Linked DNA regions of Kluyveromyces lactis. The protein of the gene in region 2 purifies or fractionates together with the protein of the main gene of each other region. This does not show direct contact. Links are inferred from orthologs where the notes say so. Each region holds a gene or a part of one and is shown on either strand. Other genes may lie near its edges.

Region 1 (3,502 bases), on a different chromosome or scaffold from region 2:
AGATTGTTGCAAATAACTACTTGGCAAGCAGCTGCACAAAATATCAAAGCACTACTAAGCTTCATCCTGCGTATTAATATTGTTATTCTGTGTAATAAGCTATGTCAATAAATCTTATTAATAACAGACACTTTAAATGATATCCTATACAAATATACCTAAGCCTAAAAATGCCAGTTGTTAAGCAAGAGAAAGTGTTCCACGTTTGTTGATATATATATATATATATATATATATATAGAATGGGAATTGCCAGAACAAACTTCTAGTTGACAGTGACAATGCATCACACTAAGTTGTAAAAATCGATGGCCACACTTAGTTCCAAATAATAGCTCTACACACTTATAATAAGGGGTAGGGTGACATGGATATACTCACGCATGGTCTAGCCAAGCTCACAATAGCGTCAGTTATGATGTTCGCTAACCCGTTACCTTTTTCCCTTATTTTTTGGATTCTAAAGACGTCTTTTTGCTAATGTTAAAGAAATGACTTTTGCGGTTTGCTAATGGCAGCAAGAAACGATGCAAAAGGACGACTGTGTCTTAAAATTGCAGATGGCAATGCCACCATTTGTATTGTGCCTTAAGGTAAAAATTCTTCCGGACGCCGTGATGTGTGGAATTTGCTTTGATGTATGTATGAGTAAGTAATCAGATCAGATCACTGAGAGTGATAACTCTGGGGGAGTTAGGGTCTAGGAAACTAATTAGGTAATTAGAATGTGTTTGAATCAGGGCAGAAATGGAAAAGAAGGAAGAGAATCAATGGGTCGTTTGAGTCGATTTGATGTTGAGATTACACTGAATCATCGGTTGATGATCCGTTCCTTAGCGTGGAATTACCACTTTTCGGTCACATGATCAACGTCAATTGCCAGGGAGGTGAATTTAAACTCGTTGTTCCCATAACCATTTGAAAAGGACTTAGGCTGTCACAGAGGGGATAGTCAGTGTTCATAAAGAGGATAAACCTAACTGTCAGAACTATGATTAGAATCACTAAGCAACAGCATATAGTCTTTAATCTGTCCTTGTTACTATGTACGGAGAGCATTTATGTAATCATTTACCCGGATATAAGCCGTATTATTGAACTCGAAATTCAACAACATGCAAAACAACGAAAGATTCGAGATGGACTTCTTAATATGTACAATGACAGAAAAGGAAAACGCGACTAATTAGATGGAGCTTACTTTCTTTGTACCTATATCGGCGATCTAGATACCTTAAACACACCTTCTTTCGGAGACTCGCTTTTTTCTAGTTTTGTGTGATACCTAGTGCTTCACAAATCAATAGATGTCCAGCCATTCAGTCACTCCGGTGATCAATGCTGAAGGAGAAACAGCGATTCCAAGCTTGAAGACATTGCCCGCAACACAATTAAATATTAGCAGAGACCAGACCAATGGTATTACCGCTAAGCCTGTTGCTGGGTTGCAACAATCATTAGGCAGTTTGCCTATCTTCAATCATTTGCCTGTAAACTCTAAGATTGGTGTTGATGATCTCACCCGTATGAAGATGGCATTGTTAAGTGGAATAGACGAAGAAGTTAAATTTGCATTGAAAAGATATTTACGGTATAGCATTAACGCTTCTTATGTTATCAAATTGAATGAGAATTTGGATTTGTTGCCCATTATTATGCCCTTGATTACAGCATGCAGAGAATACATTCCACAGCTTGTTGGCCCAATTTCCAATCAGGCTTTTGAAGCCCTACAAAAAGGTTCAATTACAATGCTTCTTTTGAGAAATTTGGCACAGGACTCGGAAAACACTTCGATATTAGCCACCGATATGGAATTGAAATCGTTCATATTGTTCGTGTTGGAGTGGGCAAATACGTTCAATTCGAAGGATTCGGCAATCTATCAGTCACATACATCCAGTTTCAACGAATTGTTAATCTATACTCTTGATTTAATGGAGGCGATTTCATCTTATATTGCACCAGCAAAAAAAGACGATCTATATTTCCAAAACCTCTGTTTGATATTTCGTGATACAAAGGATAGATACTGCGTGATCTCAATTTTGAGATCATTATCTAGACTCTTGGTGAGATCTAAATCGGACCAAAAGAGTGCAGCAGATAATTTGGATGATAGTTTGTTGAACAAGATTGTTCATAACCTTTTAATTGATAGGGATGAAGAGTTAATAATTGCTTCATTAGATTTCCTTTATCAATATATATTACCTGGTCATCAGAGAATAAAGACATTACTATCACATAAGGAAAGATATGATATCCTAGTTAGTACTCTCCCTGTTCTCCTCACGTATCATGTATCAACCCCTGATTATCATGCCCTTTCGAATACTAATATCAAACTTATACAGAGGGTAAAACCTCAACCACCAGCACACGCGCCTGAATTGCCAATGCCACTGCTCAAGGAATTATTTGAGCTAAACGAACCAATGCGTGCCACTTCCTGGTTGAGATGCTGCTTTGAGAGATCTCTGAATGGCGAAGTAACACAGATTCTTCTATGGAAAACTTATGAACAAACATTCAGCGAACAAGTAAAACTAACAGATCGAAAATTGATAACTGCCGTTGATTTCATTAAAAATGTTTCGAATGCTTTGCCCGGTGCATCCGCTTTGGTAGTTGTAGATGAAGCAACGTCGAAGAAAAAATTTGTAATAAGAGGTATACAGCCTCGCAGAAAAGCTCTTTCAATCGTAGAGGCAAATAAAGATATTGACCAGTCCTCGCCTATACAGACTGAAACCCCGGATGAATTTGAAAGCAACAATACTCCATCGGAAGCAGTTCAAATTTGTTTGCCAGATATTGTTTTCCCCGAGAATCTTTCTGATGTATCTAAAGCAAGTGCGTCATTCCTTTCACTTGTTTCTAACGATAGTACCGAGATCGTGGCACAATTTATTCATGATATGAAACCTTTGATATTACATCAAATTGCTGACGTGCCACCTTTAAATACTGTTCTTTTGGACTTCATACATTCAGGTTGAACTTACCGTTAGGCCGATAGAGTAATTAAAGTTGTAGTTTTGTAATAATTAAATGTATAACGTATCGATTAAAGGTAAAAATTAAACAACGGGAGACCTAACTAATGTATAAAATTGAATTAAAAATGGTGAAACAAAATAAAAAATAGATGATAGCAATTCTGACAATATCAGAATTTTGTATCGAATGGATCAGCGTAAACCCATTTTTGTCATAATAATCGTAAAACTCATCAAATAATAAATAAATAAAACTTTCTTCATGAGACAGATTGTTCATGGAAAGTATGATAGAAGTATAGTAAGAATAAGGTAACATCAGCAGAAAGTTGTTTAGTGCATGGAAGAATCTATAATATCTTTGAAACTCTCCACTTTAGAATGATGATCAGATAAGCCTTCAGATTTGTAAATGGCAGAAATGGAATCTAAAAGTACCATTAGCGAGGTCTTGCTAACGTTAAAAGAACCATTATCATTGAAGTTTATAACCTTTACAG
Region 2 (2,283 bases):
CCGCATGCAATAACCGTGACACTGAAGTTCTAACTGAGGAGCTAGCATTGGAAAACATGGGGAAAAGAATTACAAAGATCTATGAAAATCTACCTTCATCAGCTATGCTACTAATCTGTTCAGGTACTGGTGATACAAGAGAATGGATCAAAATAATGAGTGAGTTGAACAAACTTGATAAGGAAGACCGTGCAGTGGAAAAATCCAAACGTGAAGCAGAAATACAGGCTTCGATTAAAACCGCTCGCGATGCCATCTCATTTATGACTATCAAAACCAACAACGTGAATAATGAAAGCCAATAGTTTTATATAGTAATGTCTCAAACGCACACATACGTCCTATGTGGAGAACAAAAGCGGTGATGGTTTTTCCTGCTTGCCCTCCTTTGGATGAAGGACTGTCTTTATCTTATTCGAGAGTGGGCGTCCAGGCCACATTCTGGATTCCATGAATCGTAGTAAAATTACAGTATATAGGTGTAATCGTTATATAATGAATCATTCCATCTTTACGTCGCCTTCTTGGTCTTTTACCTCTGCCGGTGTATCTTCAGCCGGAGTTTCTTCCGCTGGAGTTTCAACCACAGGAGTTTCAACAGCAGCTTCACTCTCGGCTTCTTTCTTAGCATCCGATCCTGAGAACCCAGGAATGTCAGAACCACCAACAGCTCCTCTTATATCGTTAATTGAGAGTGAATCTGGGCCACTTTTCTCCTGGACACGAGCATTTTTCTTAGCTATCTTCGTCCTATCAAATTCATCTAAGTTAAGAACATCTGTATCATCCTCAACTACATCTCTCAAAGGATGATCTTTTTTTACCCATTGCTTGAACTTATATTTTACCTTCTCATCAGTACCATTTTCATTTTGTTTAGCAGTAGTGGACCATTCGTATTCCCAATGCTTTGCATCGGTCGTGAAACCTCCAAGACGATTTGCCCTACTTATCAAAGACATTCTCACTTTCTGTTAAGTATATGGCTCAGTGTGTAAATTTGCTGAAATAATTGGCCGAGTTAGTCGATCTAACACCTAAAAGATTGTCGCATTGTACCTTTAGATCTCTGCTCGCACTGTTAAGCTTTAAGCTCTTGATGTTTGGCTTTAATTTCATGTTGGCAGAATTATCAACAAAAATTGACCTTAAATGGGATAAAATGGTCGATTAATAGGTCAGCGAACCACTTATTGAAACGAAAAGCCAGTAAATGAGATGAGTGCATGCTACACATTGCATATAACCTTGTTAATTCGAGTGAAGTGGCCAATCTGGGCCATGATAGTGGTTTATGTTACATGGATTGCACTGAAATTACGTTACCCGGTCTCTGGATTGATCCCTCAATATCAAAATCTAAACAAAGTTGAAGAGCTGATATGTACATTTCAGTAAAGAGTGCTCGAAGTCATAAAAAGGGTGGTTAAATAGGTTCATTCAACTCTGTGAGCCAATATTTCTGTCAATAACAGAATTCTAATCTGATTCCAGTCATAATACACCCATTTTTGCGAAATGCCTAGGGTTGCTGGAAGCTCAGGAAGCAAGAAACAAGGCAAGGCAAAGAAGGATTTCAGCAATGAAGATGATGCGTATAACGCTCTATTTGGTGGTGAGTTTGGGGCATTAGATATTAGTAATTATACTAGTGGTGGCGGCAATGGTAAGCAAGATGAAACAGAGCATCTGCCGAATGCTATTGATTTTGAAGATGAAGATGAATTGGCAGATGAAGAATTACCGGAGGAAGAAGAGCCATCCCATTCTCCGAACAGGCATAATGAAGGGTCGTTTCAGCGGAGTCTGACTGAAGACGACGAATATATGACTCTGATGGACCATGGTGATGTGATGCATGAAGTTGACGCTGCTGGATTTGAAGTACAAGGTAATAATGCATTGTTCATGGAGAGCACATATCAGTCATTTGGTCCAGAACAACACCAATTTAACGAATATGATGAGCAACACAGGAGGTTAATGGAGGAACAGCGAAGGAAACAAGAGGAACAAAATGCGAAGGAAGAACAGTTATTATTTCAGTCTTATTTCCCTGAGCTAAAGCCGGGTAGAGTCCTAAGAATGACCAAGATAGCTCCAAAACCGTTGGCGAAGTATCAATGGCAAAGGGAGTTATACCTTCGAAACAGAATTTTAAAACCTCTCATACCCATTAAAGTGAAGTTTCAAGTTCAAAAGGATACAAAAAAATTGTTCAAGATGAGGAGTAAAAGCGTAAAGCCTTGGCAAAGTGCTATAAGCGAGTTCTCTGAAGTTCAA
Region 3 (4,199 bases), on a different chromosome or scaffold from region 2:
TACCTAAACTGCTTTGTAAATTTACGTCTATAATGCCGAGGTTTGAGTCTCTTTTCACCAACGGTAGGGTATATTGACAGAGCCTAGTACGTCCATCAGGAGGTACAAACGTTAGCTTAGTGAATTTCCCAGCGATTAAATCATTTATGCTGTTCGCCTTATCCTCTAAGATGCATCTATGGAAAGTCGTGTTTAAGTGGCTAAGCTTGTGGTCTAAGAGCCCAAGTTTCATCTCAACCAATGGCTGTCCGCTGAGATGGTTGTTTAAGTCGATACAACCCTTGATATGTCCGGTTAACAGTTTCCCCTTTTCCACAATAGCGTTAATTTCCTCACTCATATCGATGAATATTTCGTTATTAGCATAGTTGATGCCGCTCATTCTCCATGGGACACCAGATTCATCAACGGAATGATCAACTAACGAGGAGCCAGGAGACCCAACGTGGAACGAGGAAACGGATGAAGCGGATGAAGATGGATATCTACTGCCACTAAACCTTGATTTTTCCGGACCATTCTTAAACATTGACCCGTCCGGTTGTTGTAAGGTCTTGGTAATTGTATTGGTTGTCGTCTTCAACAATTTCGATAAATCGTTTCTACTTGGGACCATTGCCTTTAAACGGTTCGAGTCTGTTATCACCGGTTGCCCAGCATCAAGGATACAATGGAAAAGCATCGATAATCGATCGAGGTTATTATTTATCTTCTGCTTCGTTAATTGGTCCTTATCGAAATATTGTAACAACAGTAAATCTATCTCTTCTAACAAAGATACCACGGAAACTGTGGACTCTGAACACGAAATTAAACACCAATAAACAACTGGATTCAGCAAAGAAACGTGTCTGCAAAGCTTCAACTCAGAATTTATCTCATTGCAGTATTTAGACTCCCATGATTCGTCTTTACCTTGTAGTTTAACAACTAGTTGCCGAAAAGTAGGGCACTCTGCTACTGTTGAGTACTGGAATAGCGTTTCCTGGCACCTATCATTGACATATATGCTAACAATCATTGTAGCCAATTGCTTAAGTTCACTATGATAACCAACTATATGCGGATAACCCGCTGTATCCTGTTTGCTTGCCTTAATTTTTCATTAGGTTGTTCCATCTCGTACTTCTCTTAATCGTTAATCAAAATTTCGTGAATTTCATGAATTCAAAGAACGAAAGAACAAGACCAACAACAAACTTTAAAGATCAACAAGAAATTCTTGTTTTTAAGGGAACTGAACACCTTTCAGGTAGGCTTCAGAAAGGGTATATTTGACAGCATTTGGTTGAGAATTATCGCAAGAAAGAATATACTAGTTTCCTTCTGTGTTTCCCTTTCTGTCTGCAATTGAAAACACTAGTTGCAGTTTTGTTTCTCTATATAAGCTGAAAGGAGAATGTCAAACCCACCAATGAATCCTGGCAATGCGAACCCTTTGAGTAACATAGGGACGCCTTCCTTTTCGCTTTCGCAGGTTCCACAACATATCCTACAATCCTTGACGCCAGCGCAGTTGCAGATGATTCAGCAGAAACATCAACAGTTGTTATTGCAGAGACAAAGACAAGCACAGCAGATGCAGCAAGAACAGGTTTCTTCTCCCGGTAATATGAACCAATTGGATGCTGCTCAGCGTGCGCAGCTAATGAAGCTCAAACAACAACAAATGCAGAGATCTCAGACGCAGCAGCAACAGGAGCAACGAGCTCAGCAGGTGCAACAAGCCCAGCAATTGCAACAACAGCAGGTTCAACAGCAACAGCAGCAGTCTCCTCCCCAATCTCAACAACGAACTTCTTTGAATCTTCCTCCACAAATTGCACAACTATCACCGGCATTGCAAATGCAATGGCTTCAGTCCATCAAACAACAGGCTATTGCGAGAAATAACCAGAACGCTCTTCTGATGATCACTCAGCTTGAAGTCAAATTACAGCAACAACATAGACAGCAACAGCAACAGCAACAACAGCCTGTACCACCACAACAACCTGTTCAGCAGCAACAACATCAATCCCCGCCACGCAACATTATTCCTCCTAACCAACCGCAGCTTCAACAGCCTCAACCTCAGAAACCTCGTATACCACTTCAGCAACAAATGGGGAATCCACAACAAATGATTGGAGGTCAACCTATAACTCAGAATATACCAGTTATGAACAGTAATCAATCGATGGTTCCTTCGTCACAACAGCCACAATCACAACCACCACAACCACCACAACGACAACCACCACAACGACAACAACAACAACAAGTCCCAGTTTCAGTACCACAGCCACCTCAACCATCACAAGCTGCAATACTACAGCAAGTGCTTCAGAAGTTTCAGAAACAACTTCCTGATATTCCCAAATTCCAAACTATTCTTCAAGACCCACCTGAGACTCCATTACCTCATACTAGGTTATGGTCAGAGAAAGAAAGAGCTGATAACGAGCCTGTGAGTTTTGATACAAGATTATATGAACATGTTATTGAACGGGATTTGTTGGATAAGGACAACTTGTTGGCGGACACTAATGGATTGGAACCTATTTCCAAATTCGGATTCAGTCAGAGGGAGGTAATATTGAGATTACAGCAAGATCTTGATTATTACAAAGAATTGAGGAACAGTCGAATGCAATCCATTACCAACACAACTCAAGGACATAAATCTAAGAGTATATGGGGTGACGGTTATTCTGGATATGGAAATGGCTTCAGTAACGATCTCACAAGGATTCAAGTCGATGACACTTATGAAATGCACTTGGACGAAATATATGAATGGACAATGAATCAAACAGGGGAGGAACTAGTACCTGTTAGATTAGAGTTTGATGCAGAAAAGGATAAATTTACTTTGAGGGACACATTCGTATGGAACAGATCAGACACGCTACTGTCAATCAACGAATTTGTGAAAACAACGCTGAAGGATTATAGGCTCAAAGTCACCACGGAGATGTATCAACAGATTGTGAATAGTATCAAAGAACAACTTCAAGAATATACTCCAAATCCTTTTGAAAATGTGCAGAGGTTCGGGGGCGATGATTTCAGAATAAAAATCAACCTAGATATTGTCGTTGGACAACATCAATTGATAGATACCGTTGAATGGGATGTGTCAAATCCAGATAATTGTCCAGAATCGTTCGCGGAGTGTTTATGCGAAGAACTATCCCTTCCGGGTGAATTCTTAACAGCAATTGCACATTGCATTAGAGAACAAGTTCACATGTATCACAAGTCATTATATATGGTTGGTTACAAATTTGACGGTAGCCCCGTTGAAGAAGACGATATCAGAACAAGATTCTTGCCTGTACTCACCTTAGCAGACGTAATGAGACCACAAAAGGATACGTTTTTATACACACCTAACTTATTACAGATATCTCCCGCAGAACTAGAACGTTTGGTTAAGGATAAGGACAGAGACACTAGAAGGAAACGTAGACAAGTTCGTTTCAATAGAAGAGGCAATACAGAAAATCACCCATCGTCCGGAAGTACACCGCAACTACCCCATGATGCAGAACTTCCTGATCTTGGGGATATCCCAAAAACGTGCCGTCAACTACTTCCAACAACAACTTTGCCTGGAGGTATTGATGTTGGTCCAAGTACGTTATCGTTCCAGCCATCAACTAGAGTCGAATATTTAGACAGAGCTAAAGCAACTCCAAAACAAGAATTCCAACAGGAAGTAAGAAACTCATCAGCATGCAGAGTTATTATGCACGACGTTGGGAAATCTTTACTCGTCACTATAAAGCTACCAAAGGCGAAGACAACCATTCAATGAGTAATTCGCTATATATATATATATGTACATATGTATTTATGTGGTACCACCTGTAACAATTTTAAGAAATACTATGATAAATAAGCTAGAAGAAAGAGCACTGAAGATAGCTATGAGAGACCGAACGCCGATGATCGCGGGCTTACTCGAGGGTCTTGACACGCACCTCTACGTATATCGATATTTATGTGTGCCTGTTTCATTCTTTATGGTGTAAGCCTCTAAATTTCATAAACAGCTCAAAACCAAAAAATATATTTAGTAATGGAAACGTTAACATTTGAACGAACCAACCCTTTTAAGAAACTTGGTATGCAGAGGCCACAAACTCATCAAAGCAGCCATATTTGAGTGTTACTCGAGGGTAGTAGAGTTTACTGAGATTATCTACGCGGCG
Region 4 (2,699 bases), on a different chromosome or scaffold from region 2:
GTCAAATATCATAAGCCGTCTGGAACAAACTTAAAGAAAAGCGCGACTTGCACTGAATATTTTTTTTTACTTAACCGATCAACGGTAATAAAATTGCATCTTGATGATAATTTCTATGAAAATTCAAGTAACCCAAAAGACACCGGCACCTATGAACAAATACAAAGAAACGTTACATTTAATAGACCTTCTATAATCTTGATCGTTTGGTTCAATCTTCAAGACAAGCATCCAAATCATTAGCGAATACAAAGATGTTAAGATGTGTTATCCCAAGCGTTCGCGCTACTGCAACGACCAGAACCTTTGTTAGATTTGCCAGTTCTCAAGGCTACATTGATGGGATCGCTGCATTAAAACAAGACTTGAAGAAGGCAATGCTTGCAAAAGACAACCTAAGAAAGACAACCATTAGAGGTGTACTATCTACAATTAAGAACAAGGAAATTGACAGTAAGGATAAGGATCTAGATGAATTTGTATTGTATGATGTGTACGCCAAGTTAATCTCGCAAAGGAAGGACTCCATCGCTGAATTTGTTAAAAATAAGAGAGAAGATTTGGTAGAGAAAGAAGCCAATGAGATAAAGATCCTCGAGAATTATCAGACTGCCTTGCCTGTTGCTTCTAGGGAGGAAGTAGACGCTCGTGTTGTGCAGATTTTAACAGATCTAAAAGAATCAGAGCCATCTATACAATTGAAGCAGGTCTTCGGAAAAATTGACTGGAAAACACTACCAGGCGAATTGAAGGCATCTCCAGCTGCTATCAGGTCCAGTATTAGCTCTCAATTTAAGAAAGTGTTCCAATAAATCACCTAGCTAAAACCAAACTTGTACAGAGTCATTCATTAAAAAAAAAACTCCGATGAATGACGCCCTTGTGATTAAGTAGGCACATCAATCCCGTAAATAAATGTACTTACAATTATGCAATATCAAGCCGCAGCAATGGATTTGACTCACGTGAACAATTCTCTATCTAAAGACTTCTGATAAAGCCATGTTGTTCGCTAGGATGCTTTGCCAGATCACGTGATAAAACATAGTAACCAATACTCTCTGGTAACTACTAAGTGGGGAGAATATGGACATGATAGTCTTTTGCTCTCTCCACAATAGCATAATCGTAACTCTTGCATGCATCTTCAACTGCCTTCCTCCACCTTATTGTAGTACTTCCTCTAAATTTCACCAAACATTGAAAACATGAATTGACTAAATTTCAAATTCAGAGATAAATAATGGCAATTACAAGTACGAAAATATCCAGAAGAGAAACATTAGACGTGCTTATAACCCCCAATCAAATCAACCAACGATGGTGTCGGTATGTAATGATTAAAAAAGACTGAAAAGCTTCTTCAGTTCGTTTTTAGAAGGTTTCTTTTCACAATGAGTTTACTAACAGACCTTTTATTCAATATTTCGGAAACAGACTGTGAAGAGAACGGTCAGAATTAAGACCAAGCAATCTGTCCTACCGGATGTACCACCTCCAGTAGAAAACTTTCCTATGCGTCAATGGACCATTGAATTAGTTCTTTTGGATGAACAAGGAAACGAAATTCCAGCCACGATATTTGATAAGGTAGTGTATCATTTGCATCCAACTTTTGCAAACCCTCATAGAACATTCACGGAACCTCCTTTTAGAATTGAAGAACAAGGCTGGGGTGGCTTTGAATTGTTGATAAGTGCGCATCTTCTTGAGAAAGGGGGCGAGAAGAAGATAACTCACGACCTACATTTCATGAAAGATGCCTATGAAATTGATCATGTAATCCAAGTTCCTACCAATAAGCCTCTTCTAAGAGCAGAACTAGAGAAAAGTGGACCTGTCGATGAAGTAGCATCAACAGCAGCAGCAACTCCAAATGCAACAGCGACAGCTGCCACCACTCCAGGTGACAAGAGAAAAGCATCTACTGTCAATGGTGATGTAAAAACGAAAAAAGCCAAGACCGCCTCCGCTTCAACAGTGAAAGGCTCTGTGAACTTGGAAAAGTTAGCATTTGGCTTAACAAAACTAAACGAGGATACATTGGTTGGAGTAGTACAAATGATAACTGATAACAAAACTCCAGAAATGAATATTACGAACAATATCGAAGAAGGTGAGTTCGTTATTGATTTATATAGCTTGCCTGAAAGTCTATTGAAGAGTTTATGGGAATACGTCAAGAAAAACACCGAGTAACCGGACCTCTCACATGTTTATCTAATTTAACCATTACAATTATGTAGTTGTATTTTATAACTTACATCTCCACTAACAGGCACTGCTTGCAGAAAAAGTACCAAATGAACACTATAATGAATAGACAAATCAAGCCTAGGGAAAATTGCACTGAAATATTTGATTGAATTCGCCCTTGGACTTGACTTTAATTATTGTCGACCTCCTACCGATGAGCTTATCTCTGAAAAAAATAATAGTTTGAATCAAATTCTACATGATAGCATATCACAATACTCCATTATGTTTTACTATTGTTGTAGCACAACGGTCCGCAAGCCGTCGATAGAAAACTGTATTGGCATCAAGTCAACACTTAACATAATGGAAAAAGATTTTGTAATGGTATGTTTTAATCTAATATTGCCATAACGTTTGTCACTAGCAGCATTGTCACTAACAAGTGGTTGTTTACAAACATATCAGCCTTACGTTCCTCGAACAATAAGAGTCAAAACTCA
Region 5 (4,219 bases), on a different chromosome or scaffold from region 2:
GGGTTAACTAAGTCCTGTTTTAGAACCGTTCCTGGTGGTCGCAAAAGAAAAAAAAAAAAAAAAAAAAGAGAGAGAGAAAGAGAAGCACAACTTAATTTCACCTCGACATCTTATGATATGGTAATTAGGAAAAAAAAGTACTACTGTCGGATTGATAGAGAATAGAACAGAATTGATTACTTAACTAACCAGTTTTGATCCCGTCTAATTCCGCAATCAAATACGGTCATGTATCTTGTCAACGTAAAAAAAAAAAATTGGAATTAGCTTTTGCCAAATGAGTGGGGCAAATAACCTCGTACACATACATAGAACATGAGATTAACACAGAGAAAGGCAGCTTTTCTTTTCAAAGACCATTCTCTAATTTCCAATTTCCCCTTCCTTCTCTTCCATTTCCTATCTGGTACAGCTACATAACATATAACGTAACATAGCAAAAACCCCCCTACCGATGTGTTCAGTTCCGAGAGAGACGGAGAATGAGTATTTAATCTACTCTACTAGTCACACTACTGCCTGCACTAGTGAACGATCAGAAATCAAAAGCCTAGTTGCACAGGGCAACAAATGATGTAGAAATAGAACAGAGAAGTGATAGAATCGGTGGAAAGAAAGAATAAGCAGAAATAAAAAAAAGAGGTATCCACACGTTACTTCCTATGCATCTAAGGCCCGGCACAGAATCAGCATAGCAGCAAGTCATACTTAGTCTTACCTCAGTCTCTAATTCACTCTCTGTGCCTTTCTTGTTTCACTTAATTTCTCACAAGACGAATGGGATGGGGGGGGGGGGGGTCTGTCACTATATCCATTCAATCCATATCAGATTCCACTGTACACTTGCATGTACTGCGCACATCCCTAAAATGTATATCCATATCTATGTATCTTATATACACACATGCAGCACGTCATCTTGTATATTCCGCAGCTATTGTCCAGTTCCATCCCGACATACTCTTAACGCCTCAAACGTATGTCTTAAACTTGCCTTAAAGTGTGCTTTAAACCCATGTTTTAAGCCCCAGTGCCAGTCAAAATTCACACAGAAAGCATGATTACAAAAGCGAATAATTTACACAAAAAAAAAATTTTTTTTTGTGTTACGCTGTAAAACATAAACAAAATAACTTTAGTAAACGGAAACGGAGAAGGGAAATAAACACAGAAAACAACAGAACCGTTGTGCATACAGGCTTTGCGTGTGTTTAAGGTAACTTCCTTCGGTTGGTATTTTACTTTTCGGATAGTCTGCAGTGCCATATCGTCGGCGGCTAAGCAGTACTTTTTCTGTTTTTTGTTTATCCTTTAGCTTCGGCTTGAATTAAGAATTGCTTTGCTCTCTTTGCTAGTGACAAGCGTTTTTATTACTGGTAATAGTATTAGTATTAGTGTTGCGATAGGCCTGTTTTGGCAATGGATTTAGAGTTCAGTCCTCCCAGGAGGGAATATACGCGTGAAGAGATTAATCGTTGCTACCTGCGGTGGCAGCAGCTTCGTAACGAACATGGTGCGAATGTCGAGTCTATGAAGGAGTACCAGTACTATACGGCTGTGTTGAGGATGGCTGCCAGACAACAGCAGCAGCGACAACAACAACAACAACAACAACAGCAGCAGCAGCAATTGCAGAATGCAACAACAGCAGCAGCAGCTAGTTCGGCTTCGCCGAATAACATACCGACTCCGTCTGCTTATACCCCTGGCAGTAATGGTATGGGCCCTGTAGCAGCAACAGCGGTACCACCACCACATATGTCACCACAGGTAGGACCTCAGCCGATCGCGCCGGCTTCTGGTCTAACAGTAGGAGTGAATACGCCAGCTAGCACCAATTCTAATTCTAATTCTAATTCTAATAATAATAATAATAATAATAACGCGTCATCATCACGGTCTTTGTTCACAGATGAACAGTCGCTCTTGTTGAAGGCACAGATCCAATCTCTTAAGATGATGGCTAACCACATGGTCGTACCACCAGAGATTATGATGGTCATTGATCGGTCTTTGACCAATTTACTGGATTTCAAATCCATTCTACTGGCGTTGAGTGCCGATTTACAAGCTCATAATGCTGGCCAGCAGATGCAACCTCCAGTACAACAACAACAACAACAACAACAACAACAGAATAATGTACCGCAGCAGAAGCTTTCGCCTCAGGTACGCCAAGGCGTGAAGAAACCAGTACAGAAGGTTCGTCAACCCAAAAAGGGTAAGGTGGAATCACCAGTAGCAGCAGCTTCGCAACCACTTGTACAAAATAACATGCCTGCTCAACTGGTAAATACCACGGCAAATATAAACCCAGCTTCTCCTATAGTGACGTCAGAACCCACTCCTATGGCAGTTCAGTCCCCAATGGTGGAACCTTCGCGCCCTATTTCTCCTCCTATTCCGGACCAGGACCCCCCAAAACAAGAACCTCCCGCTCTTTTATCCACATACAAGAAGCAACATGAAGATATAGAAAAGTACATCGACGTAGCTTCACCGCATATTATGGTGGATTGTTTCTCGTACCCAGAACAAGGCGGCATTCCAGGCTCCACACCGTTGGTACCACCAATTAGTTATACGGATCTTCTTAACCAACAAAATCTTTCTATCACCCCCAGTCTGTTACCCGTTGGTCTGGATCCAAGGTCTGCTATGGAAACTTACCAAACTCTCATCGCTTTGGATTTAGATACATCACTGGATTTTTGTTTGCAACAACTATTAGAATCAGATTCTCAAGTAAAGGATAAAGGGGAATTGATTATGGACTATAATGCAATGCAGTTACTTCCTTTACAAAAAGCTATTAGAGGTTATGTATTGTCATTTGAATGGTATCAAAGCACACTTCTCACTAATATTCATCCTAACTTTTTATCCAAAAATCGTGGTTTAAACATTCAAGATGCTTTGTTGACTAGAGAATTGTTTAAATCACGAGAATTACAACAGTACGAAAAACAACAACTTGAAAAATCTTCTAAATTGAATTCAATCTTGGACCGTTGTAAATCGATACATGATTTGAGAATAGATAAAAAAGCTCAGCGTGTTAAGTTAGGTCACAGGTTGATAAACTTACACACGAACTTGGAAAAAGAAGAATTGAAAAGAATTGAAAGAAATGCCAAACAACGTTTGCAAGCATTGAAAGCTAACGATGAAGAAGCATATATTAAGTTGTTGGATCAGACAAAGGACACAAGAATTACGCATTTGTTGAAACAGACTAACACTTTCTTGGATTCTTTAACCAAAGCTGTTAAGGATCAACAGTCTTTCACTAAAGATAAGATCGAATCTCACCTTGACACTCAGGAACTTAGCGAAGACAACGTGGGTGATAAAAACGGAGCAGACTCTGATGATGACTTGGAACGTGAGAGAATCGATTATTATGAAGTTGCTCATAGTATCAAGGAAGAAGTGAAACAACAACCATCCATCCTTGTAGGTGGTACTTTGAAAGAATATCAATTGAAAGGTCTACAGTGGATGGTGTCTCTTTTCAATAACCACTTGAACGGTATCTTAGCAGACGAAATGGGTCTAGGTAAAACTATTCAAACAATTTCTCTTTTAACCTACTTGTACGAAGCTAAGGGGGTCCATGGTCCATTTTTAGTTATTGTTCCGTTATCCACTTTGACCAACTGGAATGCAGAGTTTGATAAATGGGCACCTAAGTTGCGGAAGATAGCTTTCAAGGGTCCTCCAATGGAACGTAAACCTAAACAAGCGTTAATCAAAAATCGTGAATTTGATGTAGTGTTAACAACCTTCGAATATATTATCAAAGAGCGTCCATTACTTTCTAAGATAAAATGGGTTCACACAATTATTGATGAGGGTCACAGAATGAAGAACGCTCAATCTAAGCTTTCTTTAACTTTGAACACATATTATCATTCTGATTATCGTTTGATTTTGACTGGTACCCCTTTACAGAATAATTTGCCAGAACTATGGGCCCTTTTAAACTTCGTTTTGCCAAAAATTTTCAATTCTGTGAAATCTTTCGATGAATGGTTCAATACACCGTTTGCAAACACTGGTGGTCAAGACAAGATAGCATTGAGCGAAGAAGAAACTTTATTGGTCATTAGAAGATTACATAAGGTACTCAGACCTTTCTTGCTTCGTCGTTTAAAGAAAGATGTTGAAAAAGATCTTCCTGATAAAGTAGAAAAGGTTTTGAAATGTAAGATGAGTG
Region 6 (3,927 bases), on a different chromosome or scaffold from region 2:
CTCATGGCAAAAGTGTTGATATCCTTATCCAATTGATCCAAGAGAGCAATGGCTTGAATGATATGGTTATCGTTTTTCTGAACAGAGAACTTAACCTTAGCACGAGAGTAAGCATGACCCAAACCAAGTTGAGCTCTTTCCAAATCACCAGGTTGTAAATCTTTCAATAATTTGTCACCGTGTAATCTAACACCACGAATCAAATCCTGAGCTAACTCATTAGAAATACAATCAACAAATGGAAAAACTTCTTTAATGGATGGACCTAAGTTCTTATCAGAAATAGCCAAAGTAACAGTCTTCTTAGAAGAACCCTTTGGTAAATTTAAATCCAACAAAGCTTTCAAATGTTCAGAGACTAAACCTTCAGAAATATCATTAGCATTTTCCAAAGCTTGAGCAGCACCTTTGAAAGGAGCAAAAGAAACCAACTCAACTAACTTAGTGAAAGAGCCGAAATCATTGATCTGTTGCTGGACTTCCTTCAAACGAGATCCGATATCATCCTGTTGCAATTTCACTTTGAAGATACCATACCCGGTAGGTTCTTCGAACAAAAGATATTCAATAGGAGCCATTATTTAATTCTCTGATCAATAAAGTTTCCTCGCTACCGTAAAATCTCTTTGATCTGGACTCTTCAACACACACTAACTTCGGAATGAATGAACAAAACTCAAGATAATACAGACAAGTATTAATTGAAATATCGCTGTGCACATAACACAATATACAATATATTCACTGGTCAGAAAGCTCATCTCTCTTTATTGGCTTCGAAATGAAAATTTTCCAAACAAAAAAAAAAGAGCGATGAGCTTGAAAAAGAAAAGCAGAATGGGAAATATATTTTACTTACCCGGCCGCGGCCGGGTAAGTTATACACGTGATCGAATGTATTACCCGGATATAGAATAATTGACAAAATCACGTGACCTGGAATTTTCTTGTCTTTCCAAAAACAAAACAACGAAAGGAAACTCGAAATTGTATTCAATGAATTCAATTGACACTTGACTATCACTACTTTCAGAATGAATATAATTCCCTTGTTTTAGGTTTTATTTAGGCGTGATTTCTCTCCCCTGATATCAAGGGTCAAACGGTAACTTTATTGGTACATACGGATGGACGATCAGTTTTTGTTCCCGGACGAGAGTGATCCAATGAATTCTGGCGATGGCCAGCTTTTCGGTCAAGGAGGTTCGAACGGTGATGAGTACCTTTCCTTCCTTGATAACTCAGGCGCACCCAACCAGCAAGGTATACCTGATAGTAATTTAGGGCCGATGGAAGATGTTAACGCAGGCGTAACGCCCCAGGCTATATTGGCTAGAAATTCATTCTCAACTGTCAATTCACCTCCGTCGATGAAGAACGGTGGAGTCTCTATCTCTCCACAATCCATGTTTTCTCCAGCCGCAGGACCAATTCCTATGAATACAGCCAATGTAGCACCGACGCAGTCTCCCGCCGGCACTACTTCTTTACAGCAGATGTTATCGCAGCGTGGAACGCCGCAAAATGTGCCAAGTGGATCCCCTACAATGGCCGATGAGTCTTTAGCTCAGGCGAGTGCTAGTAGACAGAGCCCTCAGTATATGGATAGAGCCGCAATAATTGCTGCGCATCAACAGAGGCAACAGCAACAGCAACAAAAGCTACAGATGTTGCAACAACAGCAGGCATTCAACCAATTACAGCAGCAGAAACTAAGACAACAGCAGCAACAAGCACAGGCTCAAGCGCAGGCACAGGCTCAAGCACAAGCTCAAGCTCAAGCCCAAGCACAAGCACAAGCACAGGCTCAAGCTCAAGCCCAAGCTCAAGCGCACATACAAGCACAAGCGCAAGCACAGGCGAGAATGCAACAACATGCGCCTCAAGTACAGAATCAGTCTAATAACCAAAGAAACGTTCTACAAAATCTAGATCCAGCCATTCAACGGAAAGTCGGTCAGGAATTAAACACCAAACAGTTTGAACTATTTAGAAAATCATTTTTGGAACATTGCAGGAGAAAGAATCAACCCGCAGATATTGCTCAAATGATTAATGGTACCCAGGTCAGTTTCTTCATCTTATACATGTATGTTCAGAAGCTTAACGGAGGAGAAAACGTCACTAAAGCACAACAATGGCACATATTGGCGAAAAAGATGAATATACAAGGACCAAATGCTGGAGAAGAATTGGCAAAGACGTACTACAGATATTTACTACCGTACGAAAAGTACTTGATGACCCCAGAAGGTATTAAAGAAACTCAAACCAATCGTATCATGTTACAGCAATTACTTCAGGACATTATAAGAAACATTAGAACGAATACACCGCAGTTCCAACCGCAGGTGCAAAATCAGTCTTTTATGCAGGGTCAAAACGTAATACAACCGGATTTACAAATGAAGCAACAACAGATTCCTAAGGCTCAAGGCAAAACAAAGAACACCGTCCCAAAACAAGCAAAACCTAAACAGCCTAAGAAGCCAAGAGTGAAGAAGAAGACTAAGAAAGAACTAGAACAGGAAAGAAAACAAATGGAAGAGCTGCAAAAGCGTCAACAACAAGAAGCGGAGCAACAACAGCAGCAGCAAAAGCTCATATTCGAACAACAATTGAAGAAACAACAGGAAATTATTTTGAAACGTCGTGAAGAGCAAATTAAGAAGCTTCCGAAGGTGTATAAGAGAACGATGGCCAGGCATTATAGTCCCACCACAAGAGCCATCACCACGCAAAATGGGTATGATATTTCAAAGATTTCAGCTCTTGGTGAGATGATACATAATTTTAAACCCATCTTCCTCTTTGCGCCGGAGTTTGGTGTCGTCAATATCAATGCAATTGCAATGCAGTTACAAAGTTCTAATAACCCGGAAGTCAATACCGCACTAAACTCATTATTAGTTATTAGCTCCGATAACACTTTATCAATTCCACTCGATAAATGTCGTGAGCTTTTGGATAACCTCTGTATCTTGGCGTGTCAGTTACTGCATAAACTATTGAAGAAGGATTATTCAAGGATATCAGGGTCTTATACTGAATATGATGAACAGCAGTGGATTAATACGCCTCCCAAACATTCGGATTCCTCTGATACTCATATTGATAAAATTTTCAAGGAAAGCGTCAAAAAATCTGGAGAAGATCAATCTGAATATACAGTAAAGGTAGACTCTTTAACTGGTATAGATTTTTCTCAACTTCCGATCACACCGACGGAACCAGAAATAGAAGTCGATGCGACATTACCTGAAGTCTCACTGGAGAAGGACGAAGATGAGAATGATATTGAATACTTACCTGATTTGTTGAAAGACGAAAATCTCGATGAAATCAAAAAGCTACATTTCATTTCATATATGGATTCTCTAACTAAAGTCAAAACGGAAGTCGGATCCATCTTTAGCAAGTGTCACCGTTCTGGAGCAGAGGATCCGCACTTGTTGATTGTTGACCAATTGACAACAATTTCAATGATCTTGAGAAATCTTTCATTTAACGAACAGAATTCACAGGTAATGGCTAATAATTACCACATGGAAAAATATATTGCAGATACTCTTTGGATGGTTTTCATTCATAGAGATGAGTTTATTTTTGAGCGCAGGGTTTTAAACTTCAAGAAGGATTTGATTTTTATTCTATCTAATATTACACATATGTTGAAAATTGAATCAACAGTAACTTGTTTGTTAATCATAATGCTAGCGTTGAGCTTCGCTGATCCGAAAGATCATATTCAAGAGAATAGCGTCTTGACATATGCAGAGTACACCATGAATGTTGAAAAATGTCAGACATACGGTGCGGACGTCTTGGCTAAACTTCTTTCTCTTGGTTACCCAAATAGAGCACATTTTAAGTCAGTATTAACTGGTGTTTTCACTGAAGAAAATGACGATGATGACATATGCCAGC
Region 7 (3,481 bases), on a different chromosome or scaffold from region 2:
AGAAATTGGATAAGATTGAGGGCAAGATATTAGCCAATGACATCAGCGTGATAAACGGTAAATTAATTGGCATCTTGGAAAATCAAGCAGCGCACTTGAGAAAGCTAGAATATCTATCAACTACTTTAGAAGTTATTGTGGCTTCAATGGGTAAAGAAGGTGAAGTAAATACAGAATCCTTCAAGGACCTCTTTGTTATGAATGATAAGTTGGAGCAATTACTTCAGGATCAAGCAAAGATTAGAGAGGCCACCAAACAAAGCATGGAAAATGCTGGAAATGGCGTTTCAGTTGACGAAATCGTCAAGAGACTCTTAATGTGGATTTTGCCTCTAATACTAATCGTTTTAGTTATGGCATACTACACTTTCAAAATTCGTCAAGACATTGTTAAAGTTAAATTGTTATAATGAATTATCCTCTATATATATCTGCAGCTTTATTGCATAGCTTTCTACTAGCAGTATTTAGTTCGATATAGATGAAGTTGCATTATTATTCTAAGGTTTTTCAACATAAGGTGGCCTAAACCCTGACACATTGGAGTATCCCAAAAAATTTGGATTCGGTACTCGCTTAACGGTACGCTTTTCATCTACATTCTTCGTTTCGTTTGGCACAATGCTCACATCAACATGGTTCAAAACTTGCTGTAGATATTGCTCTTTGTAATACGAAAGTTGATCCTCCGTAAGGCCAACAGGTGCACCGGCCTTATACTGCCAAAATTTAGTCCAACGGGTGTTTCTTAACTTTCGGACATGGCCAAGAGCTGTATTCAAATGAACAACATCATGGGATCGTTCTAAATCTTTTATTTGGTTTGGCGTCAATAGTTTTAACCTTGCAGGAAGTCTCGCCTTATTATATATCGGTAACCCTCCAGCACTGAAAGTTGTAGGTAACTCATCATTTGTTGTAACTGGTAGCTGCGTAAATTTCCATCCAGGAATTTGAGCCAACACATCTGTCTCCTCCGGGGGAACATAGTTAGCTTTACGTCCTCTACCAAAGTTATGAGATTCTACCGGGTGGGTGTGCGTTCCAATCGGGGAATCTAGAACATTGTGTTGTTGAGCAGCGGCGAAGGAATTCTTATAGTGGTATTTTGGAATTTTGTAAATAGTACTCAACTCGATTGCTCCATGTATAGTTTGACCCGATATGATTGCAGTTTGCTCACCATGAGCAATATTACTTAAGAACTCTTTACGTGCTTCTAAAGGCGGTAGTTCCGTAATGGTTGAAAACGGGTCTTCGAATTGCGGTTGTGATGTGGACATAACGCCCGCTTGTGCTTGCTTCGATTCAGGAAGCTCAGGTGGACCTAAAGAATGTGCTGTTCTAGTCCTTGGATCGATCGAACATACCATGTCGAGAAGTTTTTGAGAGAGTGCGTATACTCTGTGCTGCGCTTGGAAGCCCTGTTCTTTGGATAGTTGTTCCCAGTAATCATCTATCACTCTTGATCCGGATGCTAGTATAGCAGCTCCAAAGACAAGAAAAGCAGATCTAGCTGTGATATATGTTGCAGCAGTAGCACCTTCAGGTAAAAGTTTATACTGGGTCAAAAATTCGATAATATCATGTTTTGCATTAATTGGGTAAAGGTCTGGATGCTGAGCCAAAAACTCTTGTTGTTCCACATCTAGATTCAAGACTCTAATCAAATCCCGTACTAAGACGTACAAATTTTCCGAATTATTGTTTTCCGCACATGGATAAGTGAAAGTAGGAAACAAGTAATGCCTTTCTCCATGTAACCGTCCTTGTTTATCAACCTTCGTTTCCCCATTTTGATCACCCTTTCCCAAAACATAAGAGTCATTGTTGTCTGATAACCTTTCCTTAATGGTGAACGAAGGTAGTACAAGTTGCTTTGTTGGTGGCTTGTCAAGTCTGCCGGAGAGTAATTCAGGGTTATTGAGTATTGATAATGTGGTTTTCAAAATAAAAAGCTCATGGTTCTTTATGACATATTCTGGCACCGGATTCACCTGAGCAGTGACAGATGAGTTAGTACTGGAGTCCATTTTTCCAGCATGTGAAGATAAACAAATAAACGTATCCTGTTCAACAGCCAGAAAGGTCTCGTGGTGTTCCAAATATAATTAGGATGGATGAAAGTGTCGCAGCTTATACCGTCTATTGAATTCTTTCACGATGTACTTTGAAAGATATGCATATGTTTACGTTTATGTTAATGACAGGCATTCGATAGTTAGATTACATGTTGAAAAGACCCAATTTCAAAACAATGGAAAATACATAAAGATACTGATCACGTGATGACCAGCAACTGACACAGCAAATACCCGACAGTTAGGTTACATACAAACTAACGTATCTAAAATATAGGAATAAAACGGGATTCTTAGATAATAGTGCCGGTGGCTTCAGATGTTGGTAGTGTCATTCATTGAGCCAACTTAAGATTTGCAAGAAGTTCTTCTGAGGCCTTGATATAATTCCTGGCGTAATCATCAGTAAAATCTTTTGATGGAAGGATCGGGTTAGCATTCTTGTCAAACATGGCGCCTGAATGAGTTTCCAATTCTGGGGCAACTAGCAAGGGGCCTAACTTTTCAGCGTATTGCTCTGCAGTCTGATTTGTCATACCTATGAACCATTCTACCACTCTTGACTTCCAAGTGTCTTTACCAAGGTAATTATCTCTAATATTTGTCCTGATGAGCCCCGGATTCAACCCATAAAAATTGACAGTAGCAAACCTATTCTTAAAGTCCAAAACTAGAGCTTCATTACCGGCTACTGTTTTCATATGTGTGGAAATAGCTCCGTAAGATTCTTCTGAATTCAAATCTCTATAATCTCCCATATAGTTATCACCGGGGAAACCCATTACAAATACGCGAGGTTTTTTCTCACCATGTTCCTTCAATCTGGGTACCAAATGATTCATCATCACTAGTCGGCTGATATAACTGACGGCCAAATCTTCTTCTAGACCTTCGCTAGTCTCACGTCTCGCTGGAGGAGCCAAAACTCCCGTAGTGAAGATAAGAAGATCCAACTTTTCAGCAGGTAACAATTCCGCAACTCTGGATGCCTCTGACACCAAACCTAGGTCAGCCTGGATAAATTCAATACCTTCAACATTTTCGTCTCTGAACGTTCTACCAACAACGATGACTTTAGCACCCTTTTGTGCCAACACTCTTGCCAACTCACGGCCAATACCGCCCGTTCCTCCTACGATAGCAACATATTTATTATCTAAATTGAGTTCAATCAATTTTTGAGCCTTCGTATATACAATATCAGGATTGGTCTTCATGGTTGTTTGATGTAAGATTAGTCCGATGCAATTACAATAGATAGTTCCCCCTTGACTCTTGGTAATATTACTGTGCAAGCTGCATATCTGCAATCAACGTTGCACTAAGCTACCTTAAATAGTATCTATATATGATTTCTTCGACTTATTAGTTACGGCGGTGATCTTTTATCGACAATATGT

Evidence for each region.
Region 1: the proteins of RTT102 (region 2) and RSC9 purify together in Saccharomyces cerevisiae (affinity purification with mass spectrometry, with the first as the bait; 3 studies listed by BioGRID). This does not show direct contact. The link is inferred for Kluyveromyces lactis from reciprocal best matches to the Saccharomyces cerevisiae genes RTT102 and RSC9.
Region 3: the proteins of RTT102 (region 2) and SNF5 purify together in Saccharomyces cerevisiae (affinity purification with mass spectrometry; 3 studies listed by BioGRID). This does not show direct contact. The link is inferred for Kluyveromyces lactis from reciprocal best matches to the Saccharomyces cerevisiae genes RTT102 and SNF5.
Region 4: the proteins of RTT102 (region 2) and KLLA0_D06831g purify together in Saccharomyces cerevisiae (affinity purification with mass spectrometry; 5 studies listed by BioGRID). This does not show direct contact. The link is inferred for Kluyveromyces lactis from reciprocal best matches to the Saccharomyces cerevisiae genes RTT102 and TAF14.
Region 5: the proteins of RTT102 (region 2) and SNF2 purify together in Saccharomyces cerevisiae (affinity purification with mass spectrometry; 6 studies listed by BioGRID, with this or other methods). This does not show direct contact. The link is inferred for Kluyveromyces lactis from reciprocal best matches to the Saccharomyces cerevisiae genes RTT102 and SNF2.
Region 6: the proteins of RTT102 (region 2) and SWI1 purify together in Saccharomyces cerevisiae (affinity purification with mass spectrometry; 4 studies listed by BioGRID). This does not show direct contact. The link is inferred for Kluyveromyces lactis from reciprocal best matches to the Saccharomyces cerevisiae genes RTT102 and SWI1.
Region 7: the proteins of RTT102 (region 2) and SWP82 purify together in Saccharomyces cerevisiae (affinity purification with mass spectrometry; 3 studies listed by BioGRID). This does not show direct contact. The link is inferred for Kluyveromyces lactis from reciprocal best matches to the Saccharomyces cerevisiae genes RTT102 and SWP82.

What each region holds. Positions count from the first base shown.
Region 1 is NC_006040.1:880,842-884,343, forward strand, and holds RSC9 (Rsc9p), read left to right. Parts: upstream 1-1,307; coding exon 1,308-3,002; downstream 3,003-3,502. Other genes in the region: double-strand break repair enhancer MSC1, read right to left, coding at 1-65; RPM2 (ribonuclease P), read right to left, coding at 3,336-3,502.
Region 2 is NC_006037.1:881,489-883,771, reverse strand, and holds RTT102 (Rtt102p), read right to left. Parts: upstream 963-2,283; coding exon 501-962; downstream 1-500. Other genes in the region: RNH70 (Rnh70p), read left to right, coding at 1-305; TAF1 (histone acetyltransferase), read left to right, coding at 1,519-2,283. UniProt on the Saccharomyces cerevisiae protein: Probable component of the chromatin structure-remodeling complex (RSC) which is involved in transcription regulation and nucleosome positioning. RSC is responsible for the transfer of a histone octamer from a nucleosome core particle to naked DNA.
Region 3 is NC_006041.1:1,665,925-1,670,123, reverse strand, and holds SNF5 (Snf5p), read left to right. Parts: upstream 1-1,399; coding exon 1,400-3,802; downstream 3,803-4,199. Other genes in the region: APM3 (Apm3p), read right to left, coding at 1-1,021. UniProt on the Saccharomyces cerevisiae protein: Involved in transcriptional activation. Component of the SWI/SNF complex, an ATP-dependent chromatin-remodeling complex, which is required for the positive and negative regulation of gene expression of a large number of genes.
Region 4 is NC_006040.1:588,334-591,032, reverse strand, and holds KLLA0_D06831g (uncharacterized protein), read left to right. Parts: upstream 1-1,320; coding exon 1,321-1,329; intron 1,330-1,437; coding exon 1,438-2,199; downstream 2,200-2,699. Other genes in the region: AIM41 (Aim41p), read left to right, coding at 255-812. UniProt on the Saccharomyces cerevisiae protein: Functions as a component of the DNA-binding general transcription factor complex TFIID, the RNA polymerase II associated general transcription factor complex TFIIF, and the chromatin-remodeling complex SWI/SNF.
Region 5 is NC_006038.1:740,786-745,004, forward strand, and holds the start of SNF2 (SWI/SNF catalytic subunit SNF2), read left to right. Parts: upstream 1-1,419; coding exon 1,420-4,219. UniProt on the Saccharomyces cerevisiae protein: Involved in transcriptional activation. Catalytic component of the SWI/SNF complex, an ATP-dependent chromatin-remodeling complex, which is required for the positive and negative regulation of gene expression of a large number of genes.
Region 6 is NC_006040.1:1,041,728-1,045,654, reverse strand, and holds the start of SWI1 (Swi1p), read left to right. Parts: upstream 1-1,127; coding exon 1,128-3,927. Other genes in the region: snoRNP complex protein NOP56, read right to left, coding at 1-578. UniProt on the Saccharomyces cerevisiae protein: Involved in transcriptional activation. Component of the SWI/SNF complex, an ATP-dependent chromatin remodeling complex, which is required for the positive and negative regulation of gene expression of a large number of genes.
Region 7 is NC_006040.1:503,410-506,890, forward strand, and holds SWP82 (Swp82p), read right to left. Parts: upstream 2,034-3,481; coding exon 501-2,033; downstream 1-500. Other genes in the region: KLLA0_D05863g (uncharacterized protein), read left to right, coding at 1-410; KLLA0_D05907g (putative short-chain dehydrogenase/reductase), read right to left, coding at 2,417-3,298. UniProt on the Saccharomyces cerevisiae protein: Involved in transcriptional activation. Component of the SWI/SNF complex, an ATP-dependent chromatin remodeling complex, which is required for the positive and negative regulation of gene expression of a large number of genes.